4 linked regions of the Callithrix jacchus genome follow. The protein of the gene in region 1 purifies or fractionates together with the protein of each later gene. This does not show direct contact. Links are inferred from orthologs where the notes say so. Each region holds a gene or a part of one and is shown in the gene's direction. Other genes may lie near its edges.

Region 1 (3,924 bases):
GGGAGATTGAGGTTGCAGTGAGCTGATTGGGTGACAAGAGTGGAGACCCTGTCTCAAAAAGAAAAAACAGGCGTGGGCCCTCATTTGGCCTATAAGCCATAGTTTGCCTACACCTGGTCCCACAGTAGATGTGTTATTGAGCAAAAGGAGCTCACTGTCCAATGTGTTAGAAGCCAATACTGTGACACCAGGATTCAGGGAAAAGAAAAGCTTTATATTCAGGAGGCTGAGGCAGGAGAATTGCCTGAACCCAGGAGGCGGAGGTTGCGGTGAGCCGAGATCGCGCCATTGCACTCCAGCCTGGGTAACAAGAGCGAAACTCCGTCTCAAAAAAAAAAAAGCTTTATATTGAAGGTTAACTCCCTAGGCAACAGGAGTCCGGATCAAATCTGTCTCCCTGTGCTGGCTTTAAGGCAGTAATTTTTTTTTTCCTTTTTTTTTTTTTTTAGGATTTGAACACAGGAGAGGCAGTAATTTTATTAGAAAAGGTTTAGAGGGTGGATACTGGGATTAGCAGATGATTGGTGGAAGGAAGGGGGATGTCTGGAAAGTTCTTGAGCATGCAGTTATCTCTTCATGCCACCTCATGGGTCCCACGTGCAAATTCTGGGGGAGTTAGTATGAAATATGCAGTGGAAATTCGGGCTGTGACACCAGCAGCCTCATTCTGCACAACTTGTCGGCCATCTTGGTTCCAGCTTATTTCAGCCAGTTCTTTTATCTCATAAGTGGAGGGAATATCTGGGTTTAAGCCAATTGTTTCTTATCTGCCATACTGCAAACTCAAGAACTTCTATTAGTCATTGGTTTCTTTAACTCTATGGGGCATGGTTTCAGATGCCCATTCAGTTTCTTGAGTTGGATCACGTTTCTTCCTCCTGTGCTGAACTGCCCTTTCCACCCCTCCCTCATTTCTTCTGCAGTATGTGGGTGCCCCGGTGGCTTATGTCCAGCAGATATTTGTGAAGTCCTCAGTGTTTCCCTGGCACAAGAACCTCCTGGCAGTAGATGTATTTCGTTCACCTCTGTCCCGGGCGTTCCAGCTGGTGGAGGAGATCCGGAACCACGTGCTGAGAGACAGGTACCCCTCTCAGAGTCACTGGCCTCCCTGAATCCCATTCTGTACTAAAGGGAGAGTTACGGACCTCAGCGTAACTCCAGTGAGCCAGTCAGCTCTGCAGAAATAGAACAAGCAAAAAGGATGGAGGATGAGCCAGCCTTCAATTTCTCAGCATCCTTGTGGGTCCATGGTGGCTGCATTGCCCTTGGACCTATGCCAGTGGCACACACACAGCCCTGAGTCTCATCCTTACATCTCAGATGCACTCAGTGTCCACTGAGCTGACTCATGACCCGCATGGCTTCCTGCCTGTGTGTTATGGTGTGTAATGGCGGTGTCTCTATCAATGAGAAGCAAGCTCTACCTGGGGGTACCTTCTGAAGCCCCAGCCCAGATCATGCTCCCCTGCCATCAGTGGGTCTCTGGATTATGCTGGCTTGGCATACAAAATGTGTAATTGGCAAGCTGCATCACTGCCAGATTTTAGTTAGATAGTGGCATTGACAAATATTTTGATGAACTAAATGAAGCTCCTAGTTTATCCCACTCCCTGGTCATCCACTGAATTGGCCAGGGTGTATTAGTGGGCAGGGTTGTACATGCTCCGATGGTACACTTGCCTGTCCTCAGAAGGGATGGGCTTTGGGGCTCTGGATGCACTTTGAAAGTCAGACATGGTTAGGTAATTGGCCACCTGGAAGTACTTTGCCCTGCTGCCCTAATCATCAGGCTCTTTGGTGATACCAGAGCAAATACGGGGCATTGGAGAACAGACAGAAGACGTACCCTAAGTATAACAGATCTGCCCTCTGGTGGCAGACACAGCAGCTGCCTTGTCCTGTCTCCTGCATAGCTCTGGGACCAGAAGCTTAGAGGAGTTGTGTCTGCAAGTGACCGACCTACTGCCAGGCCTCAGGAAGCTCAGGAACCTACTCCCTGAGCATGGTTGCCTGCTGCTGTCCCCTGGGAACTTCTGGCAGAATGACTGGGAACGCTTCCATGCTGATCCTGACATCATCGGGACCATCCACCAGCACGAGCCTAAAACCCTGCAGACTTCAGCCACGCTCAAAGGTAGCCCTGGCACAAGTTCCCTTCAGACATGTAAGGGTGCCCATTGGTCACCGTCTTTTTGATGGGCACTTAGGCGGATCAGAGTTTACCCCATTTCCTGGGGTGGGGGTGAAAAAGGGGTCCTTGGTGGCTTTGCAGTAGCTGCGATTTCTTTGTCAGTACCTGCTGGTTTCTGCCTGCAGACTTGTTGTTTGGTGTTCCCGGGAAGTACAGTGGGGTGAGCCTCTACACCAGGAAGAGGATGGTCTCCTATACCATCACCCTGGTCTTCCAGCGCTACCATGCCAAGTAAGATTGAAAGTGCCCTGGGCTCCTGACTGGTCTGCTGAGTGACGTGAGGTTTTGAGTAGTTCCTCTTCTGGTTAGTGTTCTGAATGCCCCCCTGGGAACTTCGAGAGTTTCCGGGCTTCCTGTTGAAATGTTTATATCCCTTAGACTAAGCGATGCTGTCTGCCACATTTTAATGGAGGTGAACTGGCAGCTGATTAAGCGTAGGGGACTAAGGCGGGGCTGGCAGTCTCTGTGTCCTGGTGCCTCCTCTGGTCTCTCTTGAGCCTAGGGCAGGCATCTGGTTACTACTGAGCCCCCTAAGGCCTGAGTCCTTTCCAGTGGGGCACTGCAGGTGGCTCCCCAGCTGGCAAAGGCACTCGAGGTGCTTCTGATAGGCTCTCCTGGCAATCAAGTGTAGTGTAGTAGGTCCAGAAAGGGAGGAGATTGAGAAAGGAGTAGGAGGAGCTCCTGAGAAAACTCTGTCCCCTTTGTGATTTTCCCAGTATCCCTGGAGATTATAGAGAATCTCAGGCATCATAGGGAAGTTCCCTTCCAACACAGGGGCAGGAGGGGAGGTCCTGATGGACCCTCTATCTAGAATTGTCTTTGTCCCCAGAACCAAGAGGGACCCTTCCATCTACCCCAACCTTGCTCTTGACCAGGTTCCTGGGCAGCCTGCGTGCCCGCCTGATGCTTCTGCACCCCAGCCCCAACTGCAGCCTTCGGGCGGAGAGCCTGGTCCACGTGCACTTCAAGGAGGAGATTGGTGTCGCCGAGCTCATCCCCCTCGTGACCACCTATATCATCTTGTTTGCCTACATCTACTTCTCCACGCGTAGGTTCATGACAGGGAGGTCAGGGGCTTTCTCCAAGCTAAATGGGCATCTCCATGTCACCTGGTTCCTTGCCTCTGGAGGTGGCTTCGGGTAGAGATATAGGAACACACCTGGTGGTTGCCAGAGCTGGGGCTTCACCCCCCAGCAGGGTCTTAGGGGCTTGGGTGGGGCCAGGGCTCTTTCCACATTCAGCCCCTTCCTGGGTTAGGGTTCCTGAAAGGTGTACTGTGTTCATGACAGTGGGAAGTGCTTGTGCCTGTCCCTTAGTTTTGGTGAAACCAGCTTTCCCTTCCTCAACTGTCAAGGTACCCTACTCTAGGGAGCCCCTGCGTGCCGGGGGCTGGGGGAGGGGCCACCCTGATGTGCCCTCTCTGCCCTCCAGGCAAGATCGACATGGTCAAGTCCAAGTGGGGGCTGGCCCTGGCCGCTGTGGTCACGGTGCTCAGCTCGCTGCTCATGTCTGTGGGACTCTGCACACTCTTCGGCCTGACGCCCACCCTCAATGGCGGGTAGGTCCCCAGCAGGCTCCACTGGGCCATAGGGTGAGCCCTCCGGCCAGAGAGCCTTGCACTTCTGGGTACTTGGCCTTCCCTGGACTGGATGTTTGCTGTGTACTCATGTCTTCACATTGTTGTTTTTGACATTTAAGAGGTACATTTTCTTCCTCTTTGTCTGGCTTGTATT
Region 2 (3,924 bases), on another chromosome or scaffold:
CTCTTGGTCCTTGGCTACAGTTTCCAGTGACCCTTGTGGCCCTGCATCCAGCCCCGGCAGGCCAGCATCCCCACCCCCCACCACAGACATTCATTCCTGCCTTCATTTTTGCCATTTGACTTCTCTCTGGAATCCCATTCCTTCCCCCCGTCCACATTCCAAGTTCATGTCTATGAAGAACTTCCTAACTGTTCCAAACCACAGTGATCTCTTCTCTGTGTCCCAGTTACATAATCCTCATAATTTTACACATGAGAACACAAACATGCAGAGCCACGTCCCATCAGAGAGCAGGCCGGGCTTTGAGACTGACTTTTCTCTTCTTGGTCTGGTGCTCTTTCCACAGCATGGGGCTTGACTGTGCAGGAATCAGAGAGTAGAGAAGCCCGTGTGGGGCTCGCTCTCTCCATCCTTGCGCACGAGCATGTGTGCACAGTAGGTGCTCAGTGTCTTGTACAGTACATGCTAGAACCCCGAAAATCAACTCCAGGGCCACTCTAGGGGCATGTGACCCAGACTGTCAAAGTCAATTCAGCAAATACATATCTCATCACGTGCCCAGTCCCATTGTGGGGTGGTGGCAGGAGTGTCAGCTGTGCTGCGGGGAGTGGACAGATTTCATTGTAAGGTAGAAACCACACTGCATGAAAAGACAGGGTGAACTACACGGTCATGTAAGTTTCGCTTCAGGGACATGGGGGTTTTAAATATAAGGTTACATATTGCTCATATTCACATGAATAGCTTCTGCTTGATTCATTTCTGTGTTTGCTAAGACATATTCAGCTACACTAAATAATAGTGATTTTTAAAAAACTTTTCAAAACAGTACGGTTTCATGGGAGTGCTACTCAAAGAGAACGAGAATGTAAAATCAGTCTTAGCTATGAAGTTCCAGCTGATAGTATTTTCTGGGAGAAGGACTGGTTCAGGTGATGTGCTGTGTTATTTACGACCACGTTGAAATTCTGGAACTTAAGCCTGCTGTGTTCTAACTGTCATCTTTTTTTAAACAGCTGTTGTTGGCCTACTGTACCCCTGTATCGACAGTCACCTCGGAGAACCCCACAAGTTTAAGAGAGAATGGGCCAGTGTCATGCGCTGCATAGCCGTTTTTGTTGGCATTAACCATGCCAGTGCTGTATCCTTGTTTCTGTGCTATGTCTAGAGGATCTTTTTAGGTGATATGTTGAAGTTTTGTTTTGTCATGTTTGATGAGTATTTCATATTCGTGCAGTATACTCAAATGACGCCATGTCATAATGCAAACGTGATGGTGGCCCCTGCCCATTTCAGGTTACTGAAAAGAGAAAGAAGAATGGGGGCTCTAGATGACTTGGTAGTAAATATATTGTTTTATGATCAAAGTGCTGACAGAACTTTATATATAGCTTTCAGCAAGTTTGCGACTCGGTGATGCCAGGGAGATTTCAGGTGATCTTGATGATCACTGTAAGCTCTTACCCAACAGACCCTTCCTTAGCTCACTACGCGGGTTTTTATGGGCAGTTAATTATTTGTGGTGCAATAATTTAAAAACCATGTTTTTAACCCCTGCGTGTGTGTGTTTTAAAGTGTTTTTTATCTTACTAAGAATCATTCAGCTTTTCCTTAACTCTTGCATCACCAGAAATTGGATTTTGCCAACAACGTCCAGCTGTCCTTGACTTTGGCAGCCCTGTCTCTGGGCCTCTGGTGGACGTTCGATCGCTCCAGAAGTGGCCTTGGGCTTGGCATCACTATAGCTTTTCTAGCTACCCTGATCACTCAGTTCCTCGTGTATAATGGTGTCTATCAGTAAGTGTCTGTTTTCAAATATTGACTTTGGAAAACACTTAACTTTCACAAAAACATCCATAAAGCTTAGATATTTTTATATTTTATTTGGTTTTTATATGGAATGATATAGATTCAGGCATGAAATTCTCAAAAATGTTTCTATTCATAACTTAATGCAAAGGAAAACCAAGTAGCAGCAGTTACAACAATCCATTCAAATATTAACATTTTGTAACACTTCGTGGCTGATGCATTCTGCATATCCCCCTTACAGAGGATCTTTGATGCAGAACTGAGCCAGGTGCAACTGACTGCTAAGGCACAGTTTCTTTTCTTGCTGCAGGTACACATCCCCAGACTTCCTCTATATTCGTTCTTGGCTCCCCTGTATATTTTTCTCAGGAGGCGTCACAGTGGGCAACATAGGACGACAGTTAGCTATGGTAAGTGAAACGATCATATCATCTTCTCAGACTTCCGTCTTTTTATCTTGATAGAATTATTTGACATGATACATTCAAATCTGTGTTTATATATTCCAGTTCAGATTCAAGTGACAATAACTGAGGAAAGCTTGTATTTAAAAAAAATAGGTAATGATACCCAGGTAAAAGTTCATAGGTACATAAACTCATATTTTATCTAGAAAGGAACTAGAGCTCTCGCACTGCCCTTTGAATTGCAGGTGTGTTCATTGTTCTGAATTTTCATAACTTCTGTAGTAAGCAGTACAGAAAGTGACTGGTGGCTCCAGTGAATGGCGTATGAGTGTCCCCGCCTCCATCACCATCAGAAGCAGATCTGGATGTCCTCATGCAGTGATACTTTGCTCCCTAAGCATCTGTCTGCAAGAGTTTCTTTTCACAAAATCAAGAGTGTATGCAAATGATGCTGGCCTCTTAGTCCGCAAGCCAAGCAAAGGGAACTGAGGCTGCAGAGTCTCTCTCAGGCCAGGGCAGGGCCTAGTTCAGGCAGGCAGCACCCTTCTGTGGGGCAGGTGGCCCTCGGCATGGAGAAGCGGTGACGAGAACACTGCTGCACATGGCTAGGTCCCCATGTGGACGGACGTCCTGCCTGTCCTCCCTGCACTACCCTGCAGAGCTTCTCTCACAGCCCCCGAGGGGGATGAAAAGGCAGATGAATCCCAGGATGGCGCCAGCAGTTTCCATTAAAAACTGGCATCTGAGCACTTTAATCTAAAAAAAAATAGAGGCGGACTTTTAAGTGTTACTTTGAGTTGACTTTGACTGGCAGTCTGAAATAAAGTGAATTAAAAAAAATCTAGAGCTATTGCTCTTGGAGATAAGCTCCGGGACTTTCCTGGAAAACTTATCTTGGTACCTCATGCTATTTTTAAAACAGTACATTTATGTTTCCCAGCTGATACCCTTCTGTGAGAAGTTGAATTTGAAGGCCACTTGGCTGTTTCACAAAAGCAGAAGTAATTGCAAGTGGAATTTGTAGTGTTCCACTGGTTACTGAGTCTCTACTGGCAGATTTCTCATGACGGAGAAGAAAGGACTGCTTGCCTTTTTTTTTTTTTGAGACAGAGCTCACTGAGTCACCCGGACTGGTACCATCACAGCTCACTGTAACCTTGAACTCCTGGACTCAAGCAGTCCTCCCATCTCAGCCTCCTGAGTAGCTGGAATTACAGGCACATGCCACCATGCCTGGCTAATTTTTTTATTTTTTGTAGAGATGGTATCTCCCTGTGTTGTTGAGGCTGGGCTTGAACTCCTGGGCTCCAGTGATCCTCCCACCTTGGCTGCCTAAAGCACGGGGATTTTAGGCGTGAACCTGGCCTTGCTTTTTTCGATATTACAAATCTGGTTGGATGGTCCCACATGAAAATAGTACATCGCTTCTGCGGATTCACCTTCATCACTGTTAAGTCTTCCGAGGAGGGCTAGGCAACTCCATCACTGCTTTCTTGCTTTCTGTTTTTGTTTCAGTGCTCTTTGGGAGAGAATTCCTAAGGTGTTTAGAATAAAACTGCCCTCAACCAGATTGACTATTTATACATTATAATTAAAACTTGAATGACATTTAAAGAGTTGGTTATTTCTGTAAAGTAGATTGATGCTATTATATGTCAAGGCTTTTTAAATTAGTTTTAAGAAACGAGCATTATTTTGGTGGATG
Region 3 (4,483 bases), on another chromosome or scaffold:
GAATTCTCTTCTGTGACCCGTAGCAGGTGCCCAACCCGTGGTAGACATCTAAACGTAGTGGTTACTCAGTCGAGTCCGTCCCTTTTGCGATGAAGAGCTTCGGTCCTGAGAAGTGACTTGTCAAAAGCTGCCCTACACCTCAGAGCCAGTCCTTGTCTTCCTGCCAGCCAGGGCAAGGTACCACCTGGAAGAGATGTTCAGTTACATGGGATCCAGGGCCAGGGGGAAAATATCAGTTTCCTGAGGTTTGGGTTTAGCCACTATTCTTCCAGCATTTCTACTGAGCCTTCACTTGTACCCCCTCAGTCCACTTGGCCAGGCATCACAGCCTCTGGGCAGGTCCAGGGAGGAACTATGGGCACAGGTGCTGTGTGCCACCTCTGCAGGGGGTTACTGAGGCTCTGGGTTATAGGTGGGTGCCCTGGGCCAGAGAGAGTTATATGGAAGTTATTGCTGAATACCCCCAGAGTACCAGTCACACAACAGTGTGAAGGGCCCTGCAGGAGCCACTGGGCAGCACAGTTGAAGGTGGCACCTTTCTGCTGAGTGCTGGGGCCAGAGCAGGGTTTAGTTTTCTGTCTTTCAGGGTGAGACTGGTGTATTCTGTACCAGCCTCCCTGTGTGTGAACAATGAAGAGAACAATCTTGTCTTGTTTTCCCCAAAATTAAGACACTATTTCTCACTAGTTTATACATGTTTATTATAAAAGGTAATTTAAACAATACTGAAATGTCAGAAAAACGTAAAATTCACCCCAAATCTCACCACTCCCGTAACTATGACTGACAGTGTGATCGCCTTTTTTTTGGTCAATAAATATACCTTTGTGTGCGTAATTTTTAATGATCCATGGTATTCCGTCGTGTGGATGTAATTTACATATTCATTTCCTTATTCTCACTTCTTCCTAGTTACAGCACTTCTTTAAGTACTTGTGATTTTATTCCTTGGGATAAATTCCTAGATGTTTACAACACGACCAGCTGGCCAGCTGCAAGATGGGGCAGTGAGGTCGTTGAAGGAGTAGGAATCCGTAGGTGGGCTGCGCTTCAGAATCTCGGTGGAACTTTTTCAAAATACTCGTGCTCGGGTCCCCGTCTCAGGAGGCCGGCGGTAGGGCTGGGCACTGGCATGGTTTTCAGGTCTTGTGGTTCCGAGGTCCCAGGGATTGAGGACCACTGGAGTAAGCGCTAGTTCACGGCGGGTGCAAAGCAGAAGACGATAACTCCTGACTGCCCTGGGACAATTCGCAACCCAGTCAAGCCTCGGTGCCAGCCTTTGTAAAGGGGCTGGGAGCAGCGGGACTTCGTTGACCCGGACTCCGGTCCTGAGCGCTGGGGGGCCAGATTTGACTCCGCCGGCTTTCTCCAGCGAGCAGGGCCCCCGGAGGCCGCTGGGAAGGTGACGTAATGTGCTTCCAGCAAAGGCTGTAGGCGGCGGCGGTCGCAGGTGGAGGGTGGTCTGTTAACCCTTCACTCCCAGGCCGGTGGACGGAATAACGTGTGGAGCAGATCCAACGGAAAAGGCAGCGGCTCCTTTAAACAAGGAGGAGCAGGTTAAGATGAAGACCGAGCGGTTACTCACCGCATTCGCTCCCAGGTTGCGGGGGGAGGGACCTCGCTATGCAAATCTGAGCTGCTGATCGATGACGCGCCATCACCCCACGCGCCGCCTCGCGCGCCCATTGGCTGAGATGAGCCTGGTCCCATTGACAACAAACAAGGGGGCGCGCGGCCTGGGGGCGTGGCCGCAGGGGGCGCGGGCTGGGGCGGGGGAATCCCGCCCCGCCCTTTCCGCGCGGCGCCAGGGCGCAACGCAAACATGGCGGCCGCTGGCATCCGCCGGTGAGGCGATACCGGACGGGGGTTGTCGGGTGTCATGGGCGGTGGCGACGGCACCGCCCCCGCGTCTCCCTGAGCGGGACGGCAGGGGGGCTTCTGCGCTGAGCTGGGCGATGGACGAGAGCGGCGAGCTGGGCGGTCTGGAGACCATGGAGACCCTTACGGAGCTGGGCGACGAGCTGACCCTGGGGGACATCGACGGTGAGTGGTGGGTGGGTGGGAGTACGGGGGCCGCGCGGGGAGGAAGGGGTTACGGTGGCGCGCCCGGGTGCGCGTGCGCCCACTCCTCGGCAGCCCCGGCTCGCGCGGGAAGCACCCCGCGCGCACAATCCCCCCCGGCGGCCCCCAACCCTTCCGGCTCTGCGAGCGTGAGCCCAGCCCAGCCGCGCCGCTCTGGGAGGCCGTGGGATCTGGGGCGCCGCGGAGCCGAAAGCAGCTCGAGGGTCTTGGGTTCTGGAGCGCGGGGCCAGCGACATCGCGGGGGCGTCTCAGGGAGCGGCCTAAGGAGAGCGCGTGGCCGCCGCCTCCCTTGCGCGCCCAGACGCCCTCTCCGTGGTCCGGTCTCCCGCCGCCCGCGGCAGCGTGTCACACCTATCACTACCTGCCCGGCCGCAGGGGCGGCTTTGAGATTCCCGGGGCCCAGCCCCGGGTCTGCGCACCCCGCATCCTTGGTCTTCCCGGGATTGACCGACGGCCGGGTCGCCGGGTGCTCTGCGAAACTTTGGGCAGTGGCCACAGAAGCAAGTTGCTGATGAAGAGAGCGGTGGCAGCGGAGTGTGGATGCATCTCTCCGGGATGGAGACCCGGGCGCTCCTGCTGTCACGCTACAAAGGGAATTGAGCAGAAGGAATTTTGAGTTGTGGCCCCTCGGGTACGGGCTGGGGAGCGGGTGGCCTTTGTTTCGGCGCCTTAACAGCGGAGTGGAAGAGCTGGTAGGAGCCTAGGGATCCTCTCTTAAAAATACTCATTTTGCGACCACGAGAATCACGATTTGGAAAGGGTCAGCGGCTTGCTCAAGGTCACCCAGCTGGTTAGAGCCCAGTTCTTCGATTTCCTGGGCCAGTATTGATTTTTTTGTACCCCTTCGTTCAGAGAGTCCAGTTGACTAGGCTAGTAATCTTACTAACTTGATAGTGTGTTCTGGGCTCCAAAATACTTTGTGTTATTTCACTTCTTCACAACAATCATGTGAGATATTCTGATTACCCCTATTGTAATACGGTAATGAAAGAAGCTGAGGACAGGAGATGCTGACTTATCTAAGGCCACGCACCTTAGAGAGCTTTAGGCAAAAACGCAGATGCATGGTACTTTTCAGTTTACAGAATGCTTTCATATCTAGGATCTCACTACAGCCTTGCAGGCATGTATGATGGCTGCATCCCTGTTGTGCAGATGAAGAAACAGAAGCAGCAGAAGATTCTCTTCAAGAGAAGAGATAAATGCAGCAGCTAATTGAAAAGGATCTGTTTGCCATATCCCCATTTTGCTTTTTGTAGTATTTCTCCCCTTGGTGTGTCCTTGTTTTCCATTTTAGTCTTGTGGACAGTGTGGTAAGACCCTTAATTGAAGCCCCACTTCTAACCACAGACTCTTCACTGAGTGCTCCTAAATTCAGAGATGGGTTAACAAATGGGGGTTGGAGGTTGGGTACCTACCAAGGGCAGCTAACATGTTTGAAGAACTTCTGTGCCAGCCAGTGTTAAACACTTATACACATTAATGTTCTTAATTCTCATAACCATCAGGTAGCGAGAACTGTTACACTAGTCATCTCCCTCTCACAGATCCTGAAAGTGAGGCCCAGGGCAGTTCATTAATTTACTGAAGATTACACAGCCAGTAGAAAGTACTGTATGTCTGTAACTGTCTACCAGCAAGGGCACAGAAAGGAATTCATGTGCATTTTGCATTCCTGTTCCATGATCAATTCCTACTTGTTTATTTATCTAATTTTCAAATTTTAATTTTTATATATTTAGTTATTTTTTGAGACAGGGCTGTATTCTGTCACCCAGGCTGGAGTGCAGTGGCACAATCACAGCTCACTGCAGCCTTGACTTTCTGGACTCAAGCAGTCCTCACACCTCAGCCTCCCAAGTAGCTGGAACCACAGACGTGTGCTACCACGCCCTGCAAATCTTCTGAAGTTTTGTAGAGATGAGGTCTCACTCTGTTGCCAGGCTAGCATAGGTCACAAACTTTTGGGCTCAAATGGTCCTCCTGCCTTGGCCTCTCAAAGTGCTAGGATTACAGGTGTGAGCCACCTAATTTTTTTTAGAGACAGGATCTGGCTCTTGCCCAGGCTGGAGTCCAGTGGCATAATCGTAGCTTACTGCAGCCTTGAACTCTTGGGTTTAAGCAATCCTCCCAGCTCAGCTTCCCAAGTAGCTAGGACTAAGGCATGTGCCACCACACCCAGCTAATATATATATATTTTTTGGAGAGCCAGTGTCACTATGTTGCCCAGGTTAGTCTTGAACTCCTGGGCACCTGCGGTCCTCCTGTCTGGGCCTCCTAAAGTCCTGGAATTACTGGCATGAGCCATCACACCCAACCCTGTCTTAATTTGTAATGCTTTTAAATTATCTAGTGGTTAATACTGTCTTAATCCCCATAGATTTCTGAATGAAATGGAAAC
Region 4 (4,457 bases), on another chromosome or scaffold:
GTGGGTCCTGTGTGGATCCTTGAGTAGGGGTGGCTGAGGAGATGTGGTTTGGCGACCCCCATAACTCTGGCGTTCCTGTTCTGGGTAATTTTCCATCGCAGCCACTTCTGAGAGAGGAACAAAGGGAGCTGCATGTCCAAGCCCAGGGACTTGGCTTTGTGGCTTCTCTCCCCCACACACCCCTTCTAACATGCACAGGAATTTTACTCCTGCTTAGGGTGTGGTCAGACCATATCTGGAGTCTGAGCAAGGCAGTCTGCAGGATGGCTTGACTCATTAAAGCCCAGGGTCCAGAGGGCCTGAGGACCAGGCCCTGGTGAGTTTCCTTGGCTGCCCTCCACCAAGGGTGCTTCTGTCTGCTTGCATACCTCTGGGGACAGGGAGCTCACTGTCTTATCACATTCAGATAACTGAATGTTAATTCTGGTTTATTTCAACCCACCTCATTGGGACCCCTTCCCTCCTTCCCGCTCCACCTGGCTCTGTCCCTAGGCCACAGAACTGGGTTTGGTTTCTCTCTTCTCATCAGGGCTGTCTGCTCTGACCTAGTCCCAGCTGTCATGGTCCAGGGCAGCCTGGCTCTGAGCTAAAGCTCAGCCAACTCTTCCTTGTGGCCCCTGTCTTGGCCACTCCCAGGAACAAGCACCAAATTTGGGATCAGACAGCCCTGGGGCCAGCCGTCCTTGGGTACCCGCTTCCTCTGTCAGGAGCGGCACTGGGCCTGCTGGGGTCCTATCCCTAGGGCTGGATCTGGGACGAAACCAGATGACGACGATAGGAAATTCCAGCCTCTTTCTTCAGTCACTCCTGTCTTCAGGTGGCCAATCTTCTGGTTTCTTTGGAGAGAGGGCAGGCTGATCTCCACATCGTCACTAGCCTCCCAGCCTGCCGGTGAGGAAGCATCATGAGGCCCACGTTACAAATGAGGGAAACTGAAGCTGAGTGATGTAACTGGCCCAGCAGTTACATCAGGTCTGCTCACAACACAGCAAACCTGGGACCCCTGTAACTTGGGTCCTGGTCTGTGTTGTTCTCAAGAGTGAAATCTAGGAAGTGAGGAAGCTTTGGTTTGTGATGGGCCCAGGCCTGGGGCTTCCACTCAGCTCCTTGCTTGGTGCTGGAGAAACCGAGGCCCAGAGAGAGGACTTGGTTTACCCGCGTTCCCGCAGCAGCCGGCCAGAGGCCGCTCTGCCACGGTGCGCGAGGCTGGACAAAATGAATGACTGGAGGGCGCTCTGGAGGAGGGGCCCGCTGAGGGCAGATTTGTGGCGCAGACTGGGGATCAGGGGTACCCGCTCTCTCAAGGTGGGGCGGGGCCGTCTATCTGGGAGGGCGGGGCCTCCCCCGAAAGGCCCCGCCTCCTCCTTCACCGCCCAGCGGAGCCGCTGCCGCGGGAACCCAGTTTCCGAGGAACTTTTCGCGGGCGCCGGACCTCCTGCGAGGCCAGGGCAGGACACGAACGCGTGGAGCGGCGGCGGAAGCTGCGAGCCGGGACCGGCGGCAGTCCCTCAGAAGGGCCGTGCGCGGCGGCGGGCCCGGCGGGCCTCCCGGAGGAGGCGGCTGCGCCATGGACGAGCTGCCCTTCAGCGAGGCGGTTTTGGAGCAGGCGTTGAGCGAGCCGTGCGATCTGGACGCGGCGCTGCTGACCGACATCGAAGGTGCGTCAGGGTGGGCAGGGCTTGAAGCCGCGCCGGGTGGCGCGAGTGGGGGGCGCGCAGGTGGCTCCCTGGCCTTTGTCTCCCCCCTCCCCGGGCGCCAGCTTCGTGCTGAGCTGCGCGCCGTGGACCTCGGTGTCCCGGGCCTCGCCGAGCCTTCCTGGCTCCCGCCCTGGCGTTTCGAGCCGCGCGCTCGGCGAGGACTCCCGGGCCGGGCCGGTGTCCCTTGGCGGCTCCGGGCCGGGACACGTGCGCCTCTACGCGTCCCAGGCCGGGTACCGCCCGACCGGTGGGTGAGTCTCCAGCCCTGTGGCGGCCGCGGCTGGAGCTGGGGACCCGGGCGTCGTCGAAGCCCCGCCCCAGCCCCAGCCGTGACGTCAATGAGAGGTTACTCACGGTCATTCCCTCCGGCCCGAGAGTTCAGCTGGGCGTCGGAGCTCGTGCGCAAGCGCACGGGCGCTGCTCGCCCACTTGCCCGGCCACGGGTCGGGTTTCCCCGGTCTTCTACCGGCATCGCCTCCGCACTCATTCACTAACCGAATGCCAGGCCCCGTCTTAAGCACCGAGGGATCACAGACAGTCCTGGGCACCCGCTCTTTTCGGGAACACCATCCCCCGGGAAACCAGCAAATAGATATTTAGTTGCACGTTGGGTGGAGCGGGGCGAGGGGAGGGCAGGTAGGTGGCTACTTTGGGTAGAGCGTCAGGGACTTCTGAGCTGAGACCTGAGGGCCACCCCCAGGACTAGCAGGGAAAGATGTTTTCCAGGCCAGGGCGAGGGAAGGGCGAAGGCCCCGAGGCAGGGCCTAAGTGTGAGGAGTTAAAGGCTCGTAAAGGTTGCGGAGGGAGAGGACGCCAGCAGCCTTACTCGGCCAGGGAAGGGGCGGAGCAGGACCGCGGCACCTGCTTCCATCTTTGGAGCACCACACTGGCTGTCAGGGGACGGGGTTTGGGGCCAACGGTGGCACTAAGTGCCAGTTAGGAGGCCCGTTGCTTCCATTTTGCAGACAGCAAAGGAAAGTCCCAGCAAATTTCCTCCATGGTTTCCGTGCAGGAGCTTTAGCAACATGGGCTAAGTTGCACTTGGTTGATGAGGAAACTGAGGACGAGGTTGCAGGAAGAAGATGCCTAGACTCACAACCTGAATGGACATGTCCGTGGAACCTGTGGCCACCCTGGGGCTGGCAAAACAGATGTATCTATGCCACCCCCACTCCTGCCCTACTGCAGCCTTGCAGATGAGCTCAGCTGGCTGCCAGCTCCAGGAGCTTCCCAGCCCTTCCTCCTTCCCTCTGGGGCTTGGCTAGGGGAGGACCCAAGAGGAGAGGCCCTGATTTTGAGGCTTTTCCAAAACAGCCTCCCCTACACCTGGCAGGAGGGGTTGTCCTTCACTGCATCCTGGAAAGGTGGACCCTGAAATCCCAAGCCCTAGGGAGATCTAGGCCTGACTTAACTAGTTCCATAGCACAGGGCCCAGTGAGGGTAGTCCAAGAGGCAGCAGGACCAAGCCAGCCGGACATGGGCTTTGGGGTCAGAACTTGAACCTGGATGCTCCTCACTTCCTCTGCCATCCTGCTCAAGCCCTCTCACTCTCTGAACCTTAGTTTCCACCTCCAGAAGAATGAGGATACAAACCCTCCCTTCATGGGCAGCTGGACAGCAGAATCCGGTCTGGGCCACAGGTCTGATACAGACCTTTCTTACTGACTCATGGATAAAAACACTGTCTCTCCAGATCCAAAGGCCAGGCATGGGCAGCCATGTGGCCCAAGTTCTAGTCTGTGAGAGAGCCCCAGTGCCTTGAAGATTCGGCAGCCCCTTCTCACTAGGCAGGCCCAGCTTTACCCAGTTCAGTAGAGGATTTTTCAGTTTTTATTCAAACTTCCTGTTCTTTCCAATTAAACATATTTTTTTTTTATTATTTGTTTTGTTTTGTTTTTTGAGTCGGAGTTTCACTCTTGTTACCCAGGCTGGAGTGCAATGACGCGATCTTGGCTCACTGCAACCTCCGCCTCCTGGGTTCAGGCAATTTTCCTGCCTCAGCCTCCCAAGTAGCTGATATTACAGGCATGTGCCACCATGCCCAGCTAATTTTTTGTATTTTTAGTAGAGCTGGGATTTCACCATGTTGACCAGGATGGTCTCGATCTCTTAACCTCGTGATCCACCCACCTCGGTCTCCCAAAGTGCTGGAATTACAGGTGTGAGCCACCGTGCCCAGCCCCAATTACACATCTTTTTTCATTGTAGAACAATTAGCAAGTGCAAGTGAGCAAAAAGAAGAAACTAAAACCTTTAGACCAGGTGTGGTGGCTCACGCCTATAATCCCAGCACTTTAGGAGGTTGAAGCAGGAGGACTACTTTTATCCAGAAATTTGAGACCAGCCTCGGCCACATGACAAGATCCTGTCTCTACAAAAATAAAAAAATTAGCTGGGTGTGGGTAACACATGTTTGTAGTCTCAGCCATGCTGGAGGCTGAAGTGGGAGGACTGCTTGAAGCTGGAGCTGCAGTGAGCTGTAACTGCGCCACTGCACGCAGCCTGGGTGACAGTGAGATTCTGTCTCAAATAAAACTTTAAAGCTATCACCCAGAGATAAGCCCTGCTAATTATGTGAAAGAGCTTTTCTTCTCTGTCTCTCTCTCTCTCTTTTTGGTTTGGGATGGCTACACACTCTTCATAAACCTTTTTTTTTTTTTGAGACAGGGTCTCACTCTTTTGCCCAGGCTAGAGTGCAGTGGCATGATCTCACCTCACTGCAGCCTCCGCCACCCAGGTTCAAGAGATTCTCCAGCTGCC

What was found.
Region 2: the proteins of SCAP (region 1) and INSIG1 purify together in Homo sapiens (affinity purification with western blotting; 11 studies listed by BioGRID and IntAct, with this or other methods). This does not show direct contact. The link is inferred for Callithrix jacchus from reciprocal best matches to the Homo sapiens genes SCAP and INSIG1.
Region 3: the proteins of SCAP (region 1) and SREBF2 purify together in Homo sapiens (affinity purification with western blotting; 3 studies listed by BioGRID and IntAct, with this or other methods). This does not show direct contact. The link is inferred for Callithrix jacchus from reciprocal best matches to the Homo sapiens genes SCAP and SREBF2.
Region 4: the proteins of SCAP (region 1) and SREBF1 purify together in Homo sapiens (affinity purification with western blotting; 4 studies listed by BioGRID and IntAct, with this or other methods). This does not show direct contact. The link is inferred for Callithrix jacchus from reciprocal best matches to the Homo sapiens genes SCAP and SREBF1.

Annotation. Positions count from the first base shown.
Region 1 is NC_133516.1:30,074,795-30,078,718, reverse strand, and holds part of SCAP (sterol regulatory element-binding protein cleavage-activating protein), read left to right. Parts: intron 1-923; coding exon 924-1,081; intron 1,082-1,913; coding exon 1,914-2,134; intron 2,135-2,316; coding exon 2,317-2,422; intron 2,423-3,066; coding exon 3,067-3,239; intron 3,240-3,622; coding exon 3,623-3,749; intron 3,750-3,924. UniProt on the Homo sapiens protein: Escort protein required for cholesterol as well as lipid homeostasis.
Region 2 is NC_133512.1:92,931,945-92,935,868, reverse strand, and holds part of INSIG1 (insulin-induced gene 1 protein), read left to right. Parts: intron 1-1,016; coding exon 1,017-1,141; intron 1,142-1,630; coding exon 1,631-1,797; intron 1,798-2,122; coding exon 2,123-2,222; intron 2,223-3,159; coding exon 3,160-3,230; intron 3,231-3,924. UniProt on the Homo sapiens protein: Oxysterol-binding protein that mediates feedback control of cholesterol synthesis by controlling both endoplasmic reticulum to Golgi transport of SCAP and degradation of HMGCR.
Region 3 is NC_133502.1:189,935,491-189,939,973, reverse strand, and holds the start of SREBF2 (sterol regulatory element-binding protein 2), read left to right. Parts: upstream 1-1,414; 5' UTR 1,415-1,646; coding exon 1,647-2,043; intron 2,044-4,483.
Region 4 is NC_133506.1:69,313,003-69,317,459, forward strand, and holds the start of SREBF1 (sterol regulatory element-binding protein 1), read left to right. Parts: upstream 1-1,400; 5' UTR 1,401-1,567; coding exon 1,568-1,658; intron 1,659-4,457.